Linked DNA regions of Lepisosteus oculatus. The protein of the gene in region 2 interacts with the protein of the main gene of each other region in a pairwise test. Links are inferred from orthologs where the notes say so. Each region holds a gene or a part of one and is shown on either strand. Other genes may lie near its edges. The genes, in order: small COPII coat GTPase SAR1A and slc38a7.

The links.
Region 1: the proteins of slc38a7 (region 2) and small COPII coat GTPase SAR1A interact in binary tests that used the Homo sapiens proteins (3 or more experiments, as listed by UniProt). The link is inferred for Lepisosteus oculatus from reciprocal best matches to the Homo sapiens genes SLC38A7 and SAR1A.

The regions. Positions count from the first base shown.
Region 1 is NC_090699.1:19,536,781-19,544,503, forward strand, and holds the start of small COPII coat GTPase SAR1A, read left to right. Parts: upstream 1-4,501; 5' UTR 4,502-4,629; intron 4,630-5,358; 5' UTR 5,359-5,373; coding exon 5,374-5,431; intron 5,432-5,734; coding exon 5,735-5,854; intron 5,855-6,114; coding exon 6,115-6,180; intron 6,181-6,642; coding exon 6,643-6,746; intron 6,747-7,536; coding exon 7,537-7,668; intron 7,669-7,723. Other genes in the region: inorganic pyrophosphatase, read left to right, coding at 354-439, 938-1,007, 1,515-1,554, 2,028-2,053. UniProt on the Homo sapiens protein: Small GTPase that cycles between an active GTP-bound and an inactive GDP-bound state and mainly functions in vesicle-mediated endoplasmic reticulum (ER) to Golgi transport.
Region 2 is NC_090715.1:4,400,090-4,408,234, forward strand, and holds the start of slc38a7 (sodium-coupled neutral amino acid transporter 7), read left to right. Parts: upstream 1-5,121; 5' UTR 5,122-5,208; intron 5,209-7,971; 5' UTR 7,972-8,145. Other genes in the region: E3 ubiquitin/ISG15 ligase TRIM25, read right to left, coding at 301-452, 693-715, 1,624-1,872, 3,178-3,273, 3,750-4,316. UniProt on the Homo sapiens protein: Symporter that selectively cotransports sodium ions and amino acids, such as L-glutamine and L-asparagine from the lysosome into the cytoplasm and may participates in mTORC1 activation. The transport activity requires an acidic lysosomal lumen.

The DNA.
Region 1 (7,723 bases), on a different chromosome or scaffold from region 2:
GCTGGATGTGTTCGATTTCTATGTGGTGTTAATTAGGCAATCAGCAATCAAAGTCCCTTGTCACGCTCTTCTTACTCAGTGCCACAATTCCACTTCGCCATGCAGATTCACAGAATCAATCAATTATGATATAAATCGGTCATCACTGTAGAACTGTGTTAAGTGGGCTGCAAAGCTACAAATTTCAGCCGGGCATTTGGCATGATCAGTATTTGCTCCTGATGGTGGCCTGCTCTTGAAGCAGGGAGCTGATTGGAATCATTCTGTAATTGCAGTAGCCCCGAGGTGCAGCAGATCTAGGCATGTGGATGCTAATGCACATAAGGTTCAAATTTACGTTCCTTTGTTTGCAGGACTTTGCCATCGAGATCATAAAGAGCACCCATGGTTTTTGGAAAGCTCTGGTGTCTAAAAAGACGAGCAGTGGGGAACTGAGCTGGTGAGTTGCTAACATTTTGAAGTGGCCGAATTTTAAGGCCCAGGTTCTGCAAGCCCCGTTTACTAAAACAGATTTTTTTAAGAGAATTAAAAATATATATTTGAACTACATCTGTGCAGCAGTCTAGAAATAGACCAGCTGTGGATACCCAGGTTTGTAAAGAGCAGGTATTCATTCTGAAGTCATACACTGCACATATGAGTAGTTAGTACTTGTAACTAGTTAGTCTTGGTTTCACTTCAGATTGAAGTACGTTATGCATTAAAGATGTAAAAAATGCAGCGGAAAGAAAGCACTTTGCATTGAAATATTTGAAATGTCACTAAGAGAAACTAGGTCACGTAGTACTTATATGACAATAGAAAAACATTGACAGTCAGCCGTCTTCATAAGACGACTCAGTCTGGAAGCTGAAGCTTTGCTGGATTTATACTTTCATTTTAGTACTAACTGGAAGGTGTTAAAGATCTTAAATGGGATTTTTTTCTTTCACTACAGTACAAACACTTGCATCTCGGACAGTCCTTTCTGTTGCTCTGAAGCAGAGGCTCAGGCTGTTATTGATGCAGTAAGTTTTCTGCTTATATGCTGTTATGGTCCACACATTCTGTGTTATTGTAGTGGGTATTTTAAATGGTAATGTAACGCATACGGCTGACATTAGAGGTTGTGCGAGCCGGCTTCCCAGCGCGGTGACGTCACCGCCCTTCCCTGTGGATAGCAGGGACCACAGCTGTCGGGCTGACAGGAGATTTCCCTTTAGCTCAACTGGCTGGGTCTCTGTTGAGTGACGCTGGAGGCCTGGGTTCGAGTCTCCAGCAATGGGGGGGCCAACCTGAGGCGGCAGTGGCGAGGGCGCATACCCACGTGAACCCGAGAGCGTAATGTGATACCACTGGGTGATCTTATTTCATGATGCAGCTCTTGAAAGATCACTTTGACAAGTTCAGAATGTTTTGTTTATATCTCAATGCTTGTTTTAAAGGGTTTTTTTTCCATTCTGAACTTTAAGTAGTAAGTATGAAGTGTAAATGTCAGACTGTCTGATGTCACGTCTGTTTCCTTGCTGTTGTAGACCTGTCCTTGTGGAAATCCAGAACCTCTTCCATCAACAGGTGTGTACAATTCATTCAACTTTTTGAGGATTTTTTCTATTTTTTGTTAAAGGATATGACTAAAACTGGCCTCTTACTTTGACACAAAATACCCAGTTGTTGTAAAGGGGAACTTTCACACTTTTATGGTCAAACTTCAGATACAATTGTCTTGTTTTTTTGTTAACTTTTCAAAGTAGTTCAGGAAACTTTAAAAAGGCTGATATCTATTCCCAGATTTTTCACAATTGAGAATAAGGAGATGCAGACCCATATGAAATACTGTGGCTATCTGTGAATTGCATTTCTAATGGCCAGGAATCCCTTCCCTCATGCACTAAGTTGGGGGGTTGAAATCTTAATTTAATGCCAGCTGTATTAAATTGTTAATTTTATGATGGAGTGAATCAATCAGATAAAATACTCCAACCATGTGATGATTTACAGCAACAAATGCACTTCAAAATTTGGTTTAAAATACTTTTTTTTTGCAGTGGACAAGTGGCACTATTTGGGATAGCAGTGATCCGAGAGGAATACCTGAAGGGTGGATCAGAGCTCTTTGTCATCTGCCTAGAAACTGTACTTGAATCAGTCTTTAAATATTAGGTTTTATGTATTTAAGCATATCAAAAAAGTAGGCAATGGTGGAAAATAACATAATCTCCCATTAATATCAAAGTTAGGAAGACATGAATGAATCAGTCACAATAAAACTAGCTTGTGTTTTACTTTATTTATGAAAGCCTTTAAGACTTGAACTCTTTTGCTATAGATTTCCAATCATTGTAATTAATCTGTTAAAACCCAGGAGCTGCAGCTGCAAGCACTACAATGTTGCTTTAATAAAACCTTTCCTCTTCGTAAGACATCTGTTTTCTGTGTTCAGACTGTTCTTCTGTATTCATCTGCAGTACTGTTAAAAAATGCTACCCTTGTAGCAGAAGTGTCACCAACTTGTAGTCTGATCTCCTAGATCTGTAATGCTAAGATCGGCTGACCCGGTCGGGATGGGAGACCTGCTGTAATGACAATAGTCCAGCAGGTGGCGCACTTTCCCCCAGACCAGATTTTACATTTCATTGTGACCAGGACCACCATGTTCAAATAAGACAGATAAGATTAGATTTTATTGTCCCCTGAGGGAAATTTTATATGGACACCCAGCACTCCTGTACATTTAAATAGAATAGAATGCAAAAAAAAAGAAGAAAAACATTGCACATTATACTATTACAAAAAAAGAAAAACATTGCACATCATTCTACTGCACAGTATAACACATAACAACATGTAACATTTATAACACATTACAAAAACATATTGCAGTCAAGTGGGTTGTAAGAGTCCAAATTGTGTTTATCCTTGACATTTGTGTTACAGCTTTAATGGATAGTGGGAAAAGGAATGTTTGTATCTGTCTGACTTACATTTGGGAATGGCTGTGGTGTATCACAAAGGAGGGTGCTGAAGTTCAGTGGTAGGTGAGGTGGACCTTTTCTAGGGGGTCAAACACGTTAGTCTCCATTGGGATGAGCAGGATTATATAATCATGAACGTTATTAAAGGTCATTTGAGGGTTATTGCTGCTCTGGAAGCAGAACAGTTGCCTGAGGTAAACGTAAAACTGAGGTCCTGAGTCTCTGTGGTCATTAAAAATCCCAGGGCGTTTCTCAAAAAGAGGAGGGGTGTAACCCCGGCATCCTGGCCAAAATTCCCCATTGGCCCTTACCAATCATGGCCTCCTAATGTTCCCCATCTATGAATTGGCTTCATCACTCTGTTCTCCTCCCCACTGATAGGTGATAAGAGTTCTGGCGCACTACGGCTGCCGTTGCATCATCCAGGTGGGGCTGCACATTGGTGGTGGTGGAGAAGGGGAGTCCCCATTACCTGTAAAGCGCTTTGAGTGGAGTGTCCAGAAAAGCGCTATATAAGTGTTAGCAAATATTATTAAACATATGACAGCAGGAGCAGTAGTGTGCCTTGCAGGAATACCACAAATCCAGGTATCTGAGTTAATGTATTATAGTCCAACAGATTATCTGCTGAATACCCGTTTTCATGAACTCAACATGTTGAGAGAGAGACAATTTTCCTTCTCTGCTAACTGGAGAAGGAAATGCTTTTGTATTATTTTTTTTTTAGAATTTTTTCAAAAGAGTTGGTGACAAAGCGGTCTCAGTTTTGAAGCCCAATTATCATATTTTTATTGTACAAAGGGTAAAATCACAGTTTAAATCGAGGGCAAATTTTGAAAATTGAACTGTCACATCAATCTGGTTTTCGAGTGTCCTAATTTTACTGAACACGTTTTTTGTAAATATACTTTATTCTTTGCTGCCCTCTAGTGCTTTTAAGAATTACGTAGCCACACAAGAATCTGCTGCTAGCGTGAGCGAATAAAATACGAATTCGAAACTCGATACCAAGAGTTAATGTAATAATGTATAAGGGTCCAGAATAACCATAAATGGAGCCGTAATACCGCATATAAAAAGGGCAAAGGTGGAGCTATTTTCCTCTGTAAATCAGAACTTTCTTATCGTTCTAATCGGCATTTATGTTTTACAGGTCGAGAGATCGATCTAGAAATTTGGAAATCTAGAAGCACGTTGGCCAAAAACATCCAAGTACAGACTTCCAGTGCTAAATAATTTTAAACAGGATTTCGTGTTAATTAGTCCACCATCCCTGCAGAGTAAACACACATCTTGTTAGCGTAAGATAAGTACATTCTTAACATTCTTAAAAAGTGACATTACACTTAATTTGTTATACAGGCTGAAGAACCTCATACATGTTATGCACATGTCATTAGACATTTCTGCAATTTCACATTTCTTGCAAAAAGTATATGATCACTTGTAAGATACGTAGAAATGAGAAGAGATTCGTGAATACCATACACCGCGAGCGCGCAAACATCGTCACCGGCGCTTGGCGGAAGTGATGTCATGGTAAGAGGTACCGGAAACTCAATGCGTTTACGCGGTTCCGGTGTTCAGTCGGTGGTAGAAGAGAGTTCGGCGAAAGGAGAAAGCGGTACGGTTCGGTTTTGAACAGACAGCGTTAAAGAGAAACGGGCACGCTGAGGTAAGGAGGTGACTTTAACGAATTTACAAAAGTTTCTATTCGAAGAAGCTTGTTCGAATGTGTTTGGGTGCTAGGCCCGAACCCAAGTGCTGAAGCTGGGGAAAAGTGATTCGGTTCCGATTTCAACTCTCGGCCCGGGCCGTATATCGGTGATGGAGTAGCGAAATGACGCAAAGGAGAAGAGACCTCCTGCTGTCACGTATTTGACAAGAATGGAACCAAAGTCCCCCGACCCCCACCTTGGTTGAAGGGAAACGAACTGTCTTTGGTGGTGATCAAATCTAAACTTACGTGGCTTAAATACCTGTAACTGTAAACCGGAGGGTCGAGTGCTGGGAATCGCGCTCGGCCATTCCCGTGTCGCTGGCTCCGCATATTTACACTTCAGTGACAAGCATAGCTGCCTCTGCACGTCATTTATGGAATTGCATGTCGAGAAGGGCATTTAAGTAGCCTCTGACGCCTTATGTTCCAGACGAAACCACACTGGACAGCAGCGGAGTATTAAACGGTTGTAGTCGACTGGCTGCCGGTGTTGTCCTCGCCGATGAAGCGGTCCCTCTGAACAACTTGAAACTTTGTGCCGCTAAGAGACGATTAAGTTAGGATAGTGTTTGGTATTTCAGACGTACAGGACGTTCATCTGTGGGGGAAAAACGCAACATGATCTGTCGTGTAACTGCGAAACAGGTTGCTGTCTTTTCACTTAAAACTTCTGTTTTATTTCAGGTGACAACAACAGAAATGTCATTTATATTTGATTGGATCTATAAAGGTTTTAGCAGCGTGCTACAGTTTCTAGGTAATGTATCACACTTGTTGTTTCCTCCTGTCTATGAGCAAAGTAAACATTATCTTTATTATTGGCCTGAAAAAGCTTTCATTTCTTGATTCCTCAGCTGTATTTGTCCTTCCTAGTTTTTAGGCACTTGTGTATATAAATGCAGTAAAACATTATGGGTTGTAAATGGTTGATTGGAGTGAATAGTGTAGGTGTATATGTAGAATACTTTTCAAAACTCCTATATTGCTTCTATCCTAGTTTTATTTAGAAGATATTAGTTTTTCTTTTCAACCAGATGTTTTTTTTTTAATGTCTTTTCAGGTTTGTACAAGAAATCTGGGAAGCTAGTTTTCCTCGGCTTAGATAATGCTGGCAAAACAACATTATTACATATGCTTAAAGATGATAGGCTTGGGCAGCATGTTCCAACATTACATCCAAGTAAGTACTTTCCCTCTTTGTGTTTTTTTCTTTTAGTAGTATTGGCAGTTTTTAGAATGGATGTTTAATTTAAAAGCTAACTGAATTCATAGTAGAAATGATATTTGGTCCGTGAAACCTAATTTATGCTTTTGTAAATATGATATGAAGACTAAATGTTTTGTTCTTCCAAGCATTGCTGTAGTATAGTGTAAACAAAAATCATTTCCATCAGTCTTATTGCTGTAATGTAATGAAATTTTCCACTCTTTTTATGATAGCCTCGGAAGAGTTAACAATTGCTGGAATGACGTTCACAACATTTGATCTTGGTGGACATGCACAAGGTAAGAAATTCATTTCTGATGCAATTACATTTGTTTACTTCCCCTTTTAAGTAAAAAAACAGGTGCCATAAAATGAATCAATTAGCAATGACTCTGATGCACCTGTAGTGCTAGGAGCACAACCTTGAAGCAGTGAAAAATGTGCTTTCAGGATGGTGTTGTTCCAAAATGTGCGTAGCAACACATAAGGTGAGCGAAGGTAGAAAATATTGGTGTCTATTACAATGTCATTAGCTGAAGGAGTGTTAATGTTACCAGCTGATACTGGCAGCTGCTTTCTGTAGTTTAGAGATTTCTTTTTTTTATTGGAATGATTGTATGCTGATTGTCCTGGTACTTTTATGATATATAATGTAAAAATCAGTATATAATATTCCATAAGAAAAGCTCACTCATATTAGTGTGATTTACCTCTGCATTATACCACTTTTGCAACAGTTGTTTGTCATTTCTTCTACACAGCGAGAAGAGTCTGGAAGAATTACCTCCCAGCTATAAATGGAATTGTCTTTCTAGTGGACTGTGCAGATCACCCTCGCCTTCAAGAATCAAAAGTAGAGCTTGACGTAAGGTCATAAGTTGTTTGCATAATTGTGATAGTACTGGAATCTTGAGAAGATAATTTTGAAGTGCTTTAATTTGGGGGGGGGGATCAGATGTTGAAAATTTTCACAATTATTGTATTTTTAAGCCATACAAAACATGAACATTACTGTCCTTTACTGTAAAACCAGCAGTATTTCTATTGATACGAAAACACTACACAAGGCATGTAAATCGTAATTATGTTTTCTAAGCAAGAAAATTACATTCTCTGCTTTACAAAGTAGTGTACTTCGCACACTGGAAGATATGACTGAATGTTCGTCTTTGGGAAGATAAGCAGCATGACCTGCCAGCAGAAGTTTTGCATATAAACACTAGATACTAATTAACTAGGGCATGTAATTATCAGCCTGAAGTCGTAATGATTTGTGTAACATATTTTTGGTATTGAGTGTGATATTTTGAGCTGTCCTTTCCAACAATGAAAAAGAACATAGTTATAGAACCCATAATGGGAGAGAACATTTTCAAGAAAACCAATAGGATGTTTAAAATATACAAACGTCAGATTAAACTTGTGTGTTTTATCCGTGCTATGTTATAGAGTGCTTTGGTACAGTGGTTAAATAAAGTATTTGTGTGTTATTTTAAAATGGTTGTAAAAGCTTCTTATTGAGATTTTAGCCCTGTAAAGCAAGTAACAGCACATTTAAAAGAAAGTTAACTTTTGTACAGCAGAATGGAGTTTATAGTTGTGTAGGACATAATGTGTACAAGGTTGTACTGCTCATTATTCGTTTTCATTAACAGGCACTATTGACAGATGAGACAATCTCCAATGTGCCAGTCCTTATTTTGGGCAACAAGATAGACCGTCCAGAAGCCATCAGTGAAGAGAGACTGCGAGAAATCTTTGGTCTTTATGGACAGACAACGGGAAAGGCAAGATTAATTGTTTTATTTACTTTCAGGAGTACACTTTTGTGCAAAGAAAACA
Region 2 (8,145 bases):
ATTGCCCTCCATTGGTTTTAGCATTGAAAAGAAGAATGTTTAGTGGTTTAAAAGCAGCAGGCTCCATGGTATGTATGAGAACCAGACTAATAAGTGAAACATTCCTAATTGCTACAAATAGAAGTGCAATTCGCACATGCCTCACTGCAGAAGTTTATGGACTTTTCAGACTGGTTTCACACAGACATTACAATCTGGACTGTCAGGCCCTGCTGCTGCTAAAGTGCAGCACAGTCCTGGACCACAGTTCCAATATCCTTCGTTACAGGACCTGGAATCCGGAAGTGTTTTCGAACTCACAGAGCACCCGGAGGGAGTCCCTGTCGGTCCCTGTGGTGAGGCTCACAGTGTCCAGCCTCCTGTCAGTCCACTCCTGCAGTCTGTCCAGCCTCATTTGGTCCAGTTCCCTGGGGGGGGTCAGCTCCTCCACTGGGCTGCACATCTGTCTCATACTGCGATGGGCACAAAGCGAAATCATGATTACACCACCCGCAGTACAGTTCAGCCCAGAGAAATAGCAGGATTTCCCAGACAGGCGTGTTCAATGCTTTATACTGGTCCAGGATCATCATTAGTACACAAATTATTGGGCTACATTGTTCACAGGCTCTTAGTTTGTCAGTAAGTTAGTTTGTTTCAGTACGTCTGAGAAAGTTTTATGTGCATGCTGACTGCATTTAATGAAGACTTACCTCTTGGATATCTTGCTGTATTCCTGTGGGAAACATTGAAAAAATCCAGTTAGAATACTTCTAGCAGAAACAGGAGTGCATCAGTGGGGTTGGTTCTAGTGCATTTTCTCCATTCTGAACGCTTGTCCCAAAAACTTCAATTCTAGTCATCACCCTTAGTACACCTAAGAACATCAGGGTCTGTAAATGCTACGAACAACACTTTGATTTATTGAGAAGGCTTTCTGCCACTGCCTCCCACCTTCAACTGACAGTGATCGCTTAATTCAACATGATATACATTTACCTATTCAAGATAAGAACAAGAAGGTCTGTGCTTTCTTATGCAAATGCCAGTTTTGCTTCACAAGAGTAACCTGACGTACAAAATAATTATTCTCTTTCATCCTAGCGTTAATCCCGCATCAGCAGGGTCCGCTTGTCGGCACGCCCGTCTCCATTTGGTGGTTTGAATCAAATCTTTGAGCTGATGTTGCCATTAAATGCGACCGAGAAATACTCCAACCGGCGTGTTGCACCGCCTGCCGTCAGAGGGGGTGGGGTGGGGGAGGAGAACAAAGTAACGTAGCCAATTCATAGAGGGGGATTATTAGGAGGCGTGGGAAATCTGGACAGGACACCGGGGTTACACCCCTACTCTTTTCGAGAAACACCCTGGGATTTTTAATGACCACAGAGAGTCAGGACCACGGTTTTACGTCTCATCCGAAAGACGGCGCTTGTTTACAGTATAATGTCCCCGTCGCTATACTGGGGCAGACGTGCAAAATAATGATTGACAACAGCAAAAACCACCACCACCTAGCTGGCACAAAAATGTTAAAGTCCGTGTAACCTCTTTCAAATCACAGCAGATCTCAGCTGGCTGGGAGCGCAAACTGCGTCGCTAGGCAAAATCTGAGCTCAAAGCCATCCCCCGGGTGTACCGTACCAGGACAAAGGCCTGGTCTCGGATCCGAGACGTCCCCCTGGTGTCGGACAGGCTCTCCAGCGCGCCCATGTTCTTCTGCGTGAGCTGCAGTGTGTCCTGGAGCTGCTCCAGCTGGGCCTCGATGTCGCCTAGAGCCCGGCTCTCCTCCCGGGACAGGCTCTGCAGGGCCAGCTGCTCCTCTGCGTCCAGGGCCGCTCGCATGGCCTCGTACTGCTGCTGGACATGGGCCCTGGCCTGGCTGACCGCTAACTGGGGGAACAGGAGCATGAGCCCTCTTAGCCGTCCCACTGCGGCTCAGTCACCAAGTCCATTAAAGCACACTGGACCAGACTGGACAGTGTCCATTAAAGCACAGTGGACTGGACCGGATTGGACCGAGTCCATTAAAGCACACTGGACTGGACTGGACCGAGTCCATTAAAGCACACTGGACAGGACTGGACAGTGTCCATTAAAGCACAGTGGACAGGACTGGACTGGACTGAGTCCATTAAAGCATAGTGGACTGGACTGGACCGAGTCCATTAAAGCACAGTGGACTGGACCGGACTGGACCGAGTCCATTAAAGCACACTGGACCGGACTGGACTGGACCGAGTCCATTAAAGCACACTGGACAGAACATTAATGTAGCTTTCTTGGCTCTTATACCTCACCCAGTAGCGAATGAAACTCCTGTCAGTGGCATCTCACTTCTCTTACAGTTAATCCAAAACTGTGATCAGGGAGCTCTGGAAGACTAGTCCCAGGAAAGACAGTCGGCAGCTTGTGTTATATATACAGCTTATGTTGTTAAAGGGGAACTGCAGTCCCAATTTCTCAGACTGGTTATTAAACCTCGGTAGGAAAATAAATTCACTGATGGTATAGATCAGATTTACAAATGTTGAATTTAGCACAAAATACTGAACTTTGTGAAAGTACTGTAAGTCGCCATGTTGTGGCAAAGCACTGGTCTCGCCACGGGCAAGAGTGAGAGTTCGCGATTTGCAATGGGAAGCGGCCCTTCCTGCTCACTAGTTTCTCTATTGACTAATGTGACGTGATGTACTCTCTGTGATGTGCGAGGGAATAAGTACAGGTTGTGCAGCAGACATTTCATGGCAGAAATGTTCCACCGTGATCTGCATGCAGTTAACAAGTGATATTTGTAGGTAAAACCGAGAAACTGAGAGCAACATCTCTATTGGATGAAGGGAGAGGTCTTCACAAGCTGCGTGTTTACCATGTAACAAGTCTGCTTCACATCACCGGAGGTTTTGTTGACTCATTCTAATTCACAGAACATGGCGCTGCTCAGACATGGACATTTAGTCTATTTTGTGATGTAAAATGGAGGTTTTTACAAGTTACTGTGTACATCTGACTTACATTGTGGTTTGCAAAGCACACATCAATGCTGATTCTCTCTAACCCCAAAATATAAATATAGCCTTGCAGGTCACCCCTGTATTTACACACTTGTAAGCTGTATATCTGGGCAGATGACACCTGGAGTGTCTGTCTTATCCACAGCGAGGACATAGTTTACCACAACACCGAGCTCTAACCCACCTGGATGTTCAGTTTCTTCTCCTGCAGCAAAGTAAGTCTGTCTTCGACAATCTGAACATTTTCCTGTATTTTAATCATCCCTTCTTTCAATTTCCCCTGAAAGGAAAAAAATGTAATGTTGTTATTAGTTGTAGTAATAGCAGCTGCAGTGATCGTAGCAGTATTGGCTGGATCAGAGTCTCTACTGTACAAACACTATAATGAGTATGTCAGGTGGGGAGCTGCGTCAGCATGCGTAGCCTGCAAAGGAACAAGTACAGGTTTATTCCATGCTGAAGAGAGAAGAGAGTAAACACAACGTTTCTTTCTTATCTTTTCAGCATGGAATAAACCATTACTTGTTCCTATAATGAGTATGTGTAGTTAAAATGGGGTTCGCACACAGTTTGAAGCTCAGCAAAGTTACTATATCAGGAGATTTGTGCTGTGACAGCAGTGTGTGCAACACATCCTGCTGCAGGCCCTCTGCCATCGGTAGTACCAGAAGGATCAGTGTATCATTCACGAGCCAGAGCAGTAGACACAGAGCCCAGGGACACACACACAGAGCTGCAGAGAATCCCGCCTCTCACCCTGAGCTCCTGCTCAGCCTCGCCCACGCCGACGCACTGGTGGCCCTTGTGCGCGCCGACGAGCGTGCACATGGTGCAGATGCACTCCTCGCACTCCCGGCAGTAGATCTTCAGCATCTCCTGGTGCTCCACGCACTTCCACAGAGAGATGTCGGCCGTGGGCTGCACCAGGGGGTGGCCCTGGAACACCGCCACCTCCAGGTGGATTTTCAGGTGCTCCGCGCACATGGAGGCTCCACACACCAGGCAGGTCTTCACGGCCGGCCGGCTGGAGGTGATGCAGTAGTTGCAGGGCACAGTGCTGCTGGTGGAGGGCCTCTCTGCCTCTGTGGCAGGCGCCGAGGGCTGCTCTCTCTCTCCTCCCAGGGCTGGCAGTTTCCTGTACTCTGCCCTGCACTCAGGGCAGTAGTAAGGGCCAGTCTGAGAGGTGCTCCACAGCTCCTGGATGCAGCCCTGACAGAAGAGGTGCCCACATCTCAGAGTGGTCGGCTGCCGGCATTCTCGGTGGCACAGAGGGCACTCCGGCTGTACGCCGAGCCTCTCTAAGGCTGCGCCCATTTTAGCCATTTTAGAGAACAAGGAAGAAAGACGAGGGCCTGGGAGGAGTTTACAGTTTGAAAATGAGAGACTCCACCTTTTCCCCCCTTTAGTTCTTAAAGGGGCAGAGCAGGAAAAAAAAATTACGGCGGAACAACTCACACAAGTACATTTTCATACTGTACTGTGTTCAGTACACGGGGTCGCGGCGAGCCCAGAAACCCGGCTGACAATGAACTCCCGGCAGGATGATAACCGGGCGGTCCAGTCCATTCTGAACACCCACACTCGTGCATTCACACCAAGTCGTTGTTATTCCTCTCTTCCTTTTCTCCACCTCCTTTTCTGCTGCAGAGATTTGTGTAATATTTATCCATTTTAAGAACTAGCAGAGGCGTATGGGTGGCACAGCTGAACTGAGTACCAAATTGCCTGCAACGCAGCTATTACGCGCACCGGTAAAATAAACGAGGGACTAAATAGCATTAAAAAAGTACAGACTATTTTCATAAACCTATCTTTACAAAAAAACCTGGGGGCTCTTTTAAATAATACTAAACGCAACTCAACATAACTCTACTTAATATCAATATAGAAACACGAATTAATCACATTTAGTTTTTTAAATGTTTTTGCCGTTATTGATAGTGAACAGTAATGCTTACAGTTGTACCCCGCGTTATGTTTCGACGGAGCTGCAACTACAGAAAAGTGTAATACTAATAAACTTAGCAACAACTAAGGAAACCTTCCAGGACAAGGAAAAAAAACCAACCTAACCCAAAACTACAGTTCCCATGATCCACCTGTCTCGCGTGAGGGCGAGCAGGTCACGTGACAATCACATGTCACTGCAGCTGGATCAGCAGGAGGAATCTGCCCCAGCAGCTACAATAAGGCGAGCGAGAGGAGATACCGGTTGGTGAGTGTGTCTGTTCAGTGAATGCCTTCGCTTACTAGCATTGTGTTTTCTTTCCAAACGTGCCTGTGAACTCACTGAATGTTACTGCGTTAAGGAATTTATTAGCTTCCGAGCGGCATGTAGGGAGTCACAAAAGGAATGAGGCGATGATAAGGTCGGTATCGATGCTGGGCGATTTGTGCATACACACAATCCGCAAGCCAAGCGTGCTAGTTTAAATGAGGTGTCTCCGAGCCTGGTCGTGGAGAGACAGTATTTCATTCTGACTCTCCTCTTAGCAAGCTGAATCGGCTGGTGTAGCTGATAAGCTTAACAGCTTCTCAGGTGCTGCTCCGACTCTGAAAACCGAAAGCACGCCGTCCTACCAACACCAGCATGCCCCCTGTCCGGCGTGAATGATTTCATTTACAGCGTGTGTATAGGTGAACTGAAATTCTAGTGAATATAGCACGTCAGACTGGTGTTTCCTTACCCGTATCTGAGGTTTGATTCACCTGTGATCAGTGAAAACATGAGGAATGTGGACACCGAGTCTCCCTCTGTCCTTTCCCTGAGGTCAATATGGTGACCCGTTGTGATTTAAGTTAGCATGTGCGAGGAAGGCAGGATTTATGCGAAAGGTGGGTTCAAGCCCTGCAGAGGTTCCTCACGTTTGCCCACTGACCCGTTTCAAAGTGAAACATGATTTGGATTTGAATTGCAGGAGATGGTTTCAGTCCCTCGAGTTGTTTTTGAGGACTTGAAGTAATAATGGCATACAGAGAATTAACATAACAAAGCCTTATTTAGAGTACTCCACGGTGATTTTTATTTTTTAATAGTGCATTACAAATAAAGCTGATCTTGATCATGAAATTTTACGGTAGCAAAACTGAAATATTTTTTTTTCCAGTAGTAAGCAATTATAGATCCTTTTACAGGCTTAGACCGCAGTACAGATTTTGAATCACAAGACCAAGAATATTACGACATGCAGTGACATGTATGCTGGTCAGTACAGAAGATACTGTTATTTAGTTTTCCAAGGGAAATAGTGGTGTCTCCTAGATCGGAGACCTTATTTGTTGAGGAGCAGTTACTATATAATTTTGAAAACCCGTCGTTGCTTTAATGAAGTTCCTTTCTATTTCTGTGTCGCGTAAGCAATGCCTTGTTTCTTCCTCGCCTCTTGAGGAACAGAGATCTTCAGAGCGGTGTGAAAATTTAAACAGGAACAAAGTACGAGAGAAAGAGCCCATATAAGACCGGCAAGCAGCTGACGTCATGTCAGGAATTCTGTCTTGTTCCCCATCTAAAGCGGAATAACTCAGACGCGAGTGTGAAAATAAAATGACTATTATCCAACAGCAGAGACGTGCAGAGTCCTTTTGGTGGGCAGTGGCTCAAAAGGGGAGAAGGTGCACTTTCCTGGGATTTTGTTACATACGAGTATCCTGGACACAGATCAGCGCCCGCTTGTGTTTCTGTGTTTTTTTAATTTGAATGGAAGTTTGGATGCGACCTCAGAGGCGTTAATCATATTCCCAACCTTGGCAAAATAAATGGTTGTCCATAATTGCTGATTATGTTTGATTAACAGACAAGATATTACACCCGCTCCACTGAATATATACTTTATTTTCCTGATATAACACAGCTTAATAAGAGGACAGAGCAAATGAAACAATCGGCATCTAATTACATATTCATCAAAACTGAAGTCGTACAACATTTACCGATGTAATCATTCTTGTGAGGCAAGACTCTTCTGTTATTGAGGCGCACATGGAATGTAGCCTAAGGAACTGGCTTTTTTGATGACCATTTTCCTGTCTGTACGCCGCTAGTTGTGACCCAGTTGTTGAAGCGATGTCCTCCCTAAATTCTCTCTCTTCTTTTTCTTTTTTTTCTGGAGCCATGTTCTCCTGTTTCTGTGACTGAACCTTATATACTGTATACAACAAAGACTATGCATGTTAGCTGTTTATGTCCAATACAAAAAGACTGGCTTGTCTACTCGGTGAACTCAGTTTTCTTAAGGAAATCTCAAATCTAGCTAAGCAGCCACGCAGACAATAACGTGGCGAATTCGACGGTTTGCAAACGTAGAGTAGGTGAATGAAAATAGTATTTTTTAAACACAAAGTGCTCAATACGACACCCTTGGAGTGTTACTTTTGTACAGTCCTTCTGAAAATCTGTGTATCTTCTCACCATTCAAAAATGTTTAACACGATCTCCACAGGTGGAGTAGCCTTCGTCGCTTCTCGCTGCTTTTTACAACCAACGGGAGGCGGGCGCTGGTGCTCAGATGAGATCGATTAGGTCCGACATTTTATTTTCCTAATGGGAGATTCGTACTAAATACAGAGGCAGAATCGTCAAGTGGCAAAAACCAAAAAAAATTAAATTGGTTGGACTTTTTTTCTACAAGCAAAAAGAGGCACTTGGGCCCATGAGGGCAAAGGGGCTTGAGCCAGTGTAGCCGCCCTGCTCTGCACATCCCTGTCCTAAAGGTTAGACCAGAAGTTTCAAGCTCAATTCTCGGAGGGCCTGAACGTCCTCTGAGTTTAATCCACCCGTGTGCTCGGTTACATAGTGGGTCTAATTGTTGAATTAGCCACAAAGATGGTCGTATTTCAGTGCAGGCTCTGGGGTGATTGCTGGCAACTGTACCTCACCTGAAGCGGTAGTCCTGGGGAATCAGCTGAGGAAGACCTTAAGGAAAGTCATACGTGTCTGATTTAAAGAACGGCGTGGTTAATTGACTAATTGGCCACGCAGGTTGGTGGGGAGCCCAGAAGACAGCAGGCCCTGCGGACCCTGAAACAGACTGTGCTGGGGGAGTGATGCAGGGGGCAGCAGCCGACACCCCGAGAGGATCCCCAGCGCCCGGTGGCCCGCAGTGAGCTCTTCCCGAGGGGCCACGTCTCTGACTCGCCCACCCTTCGCGGCCTC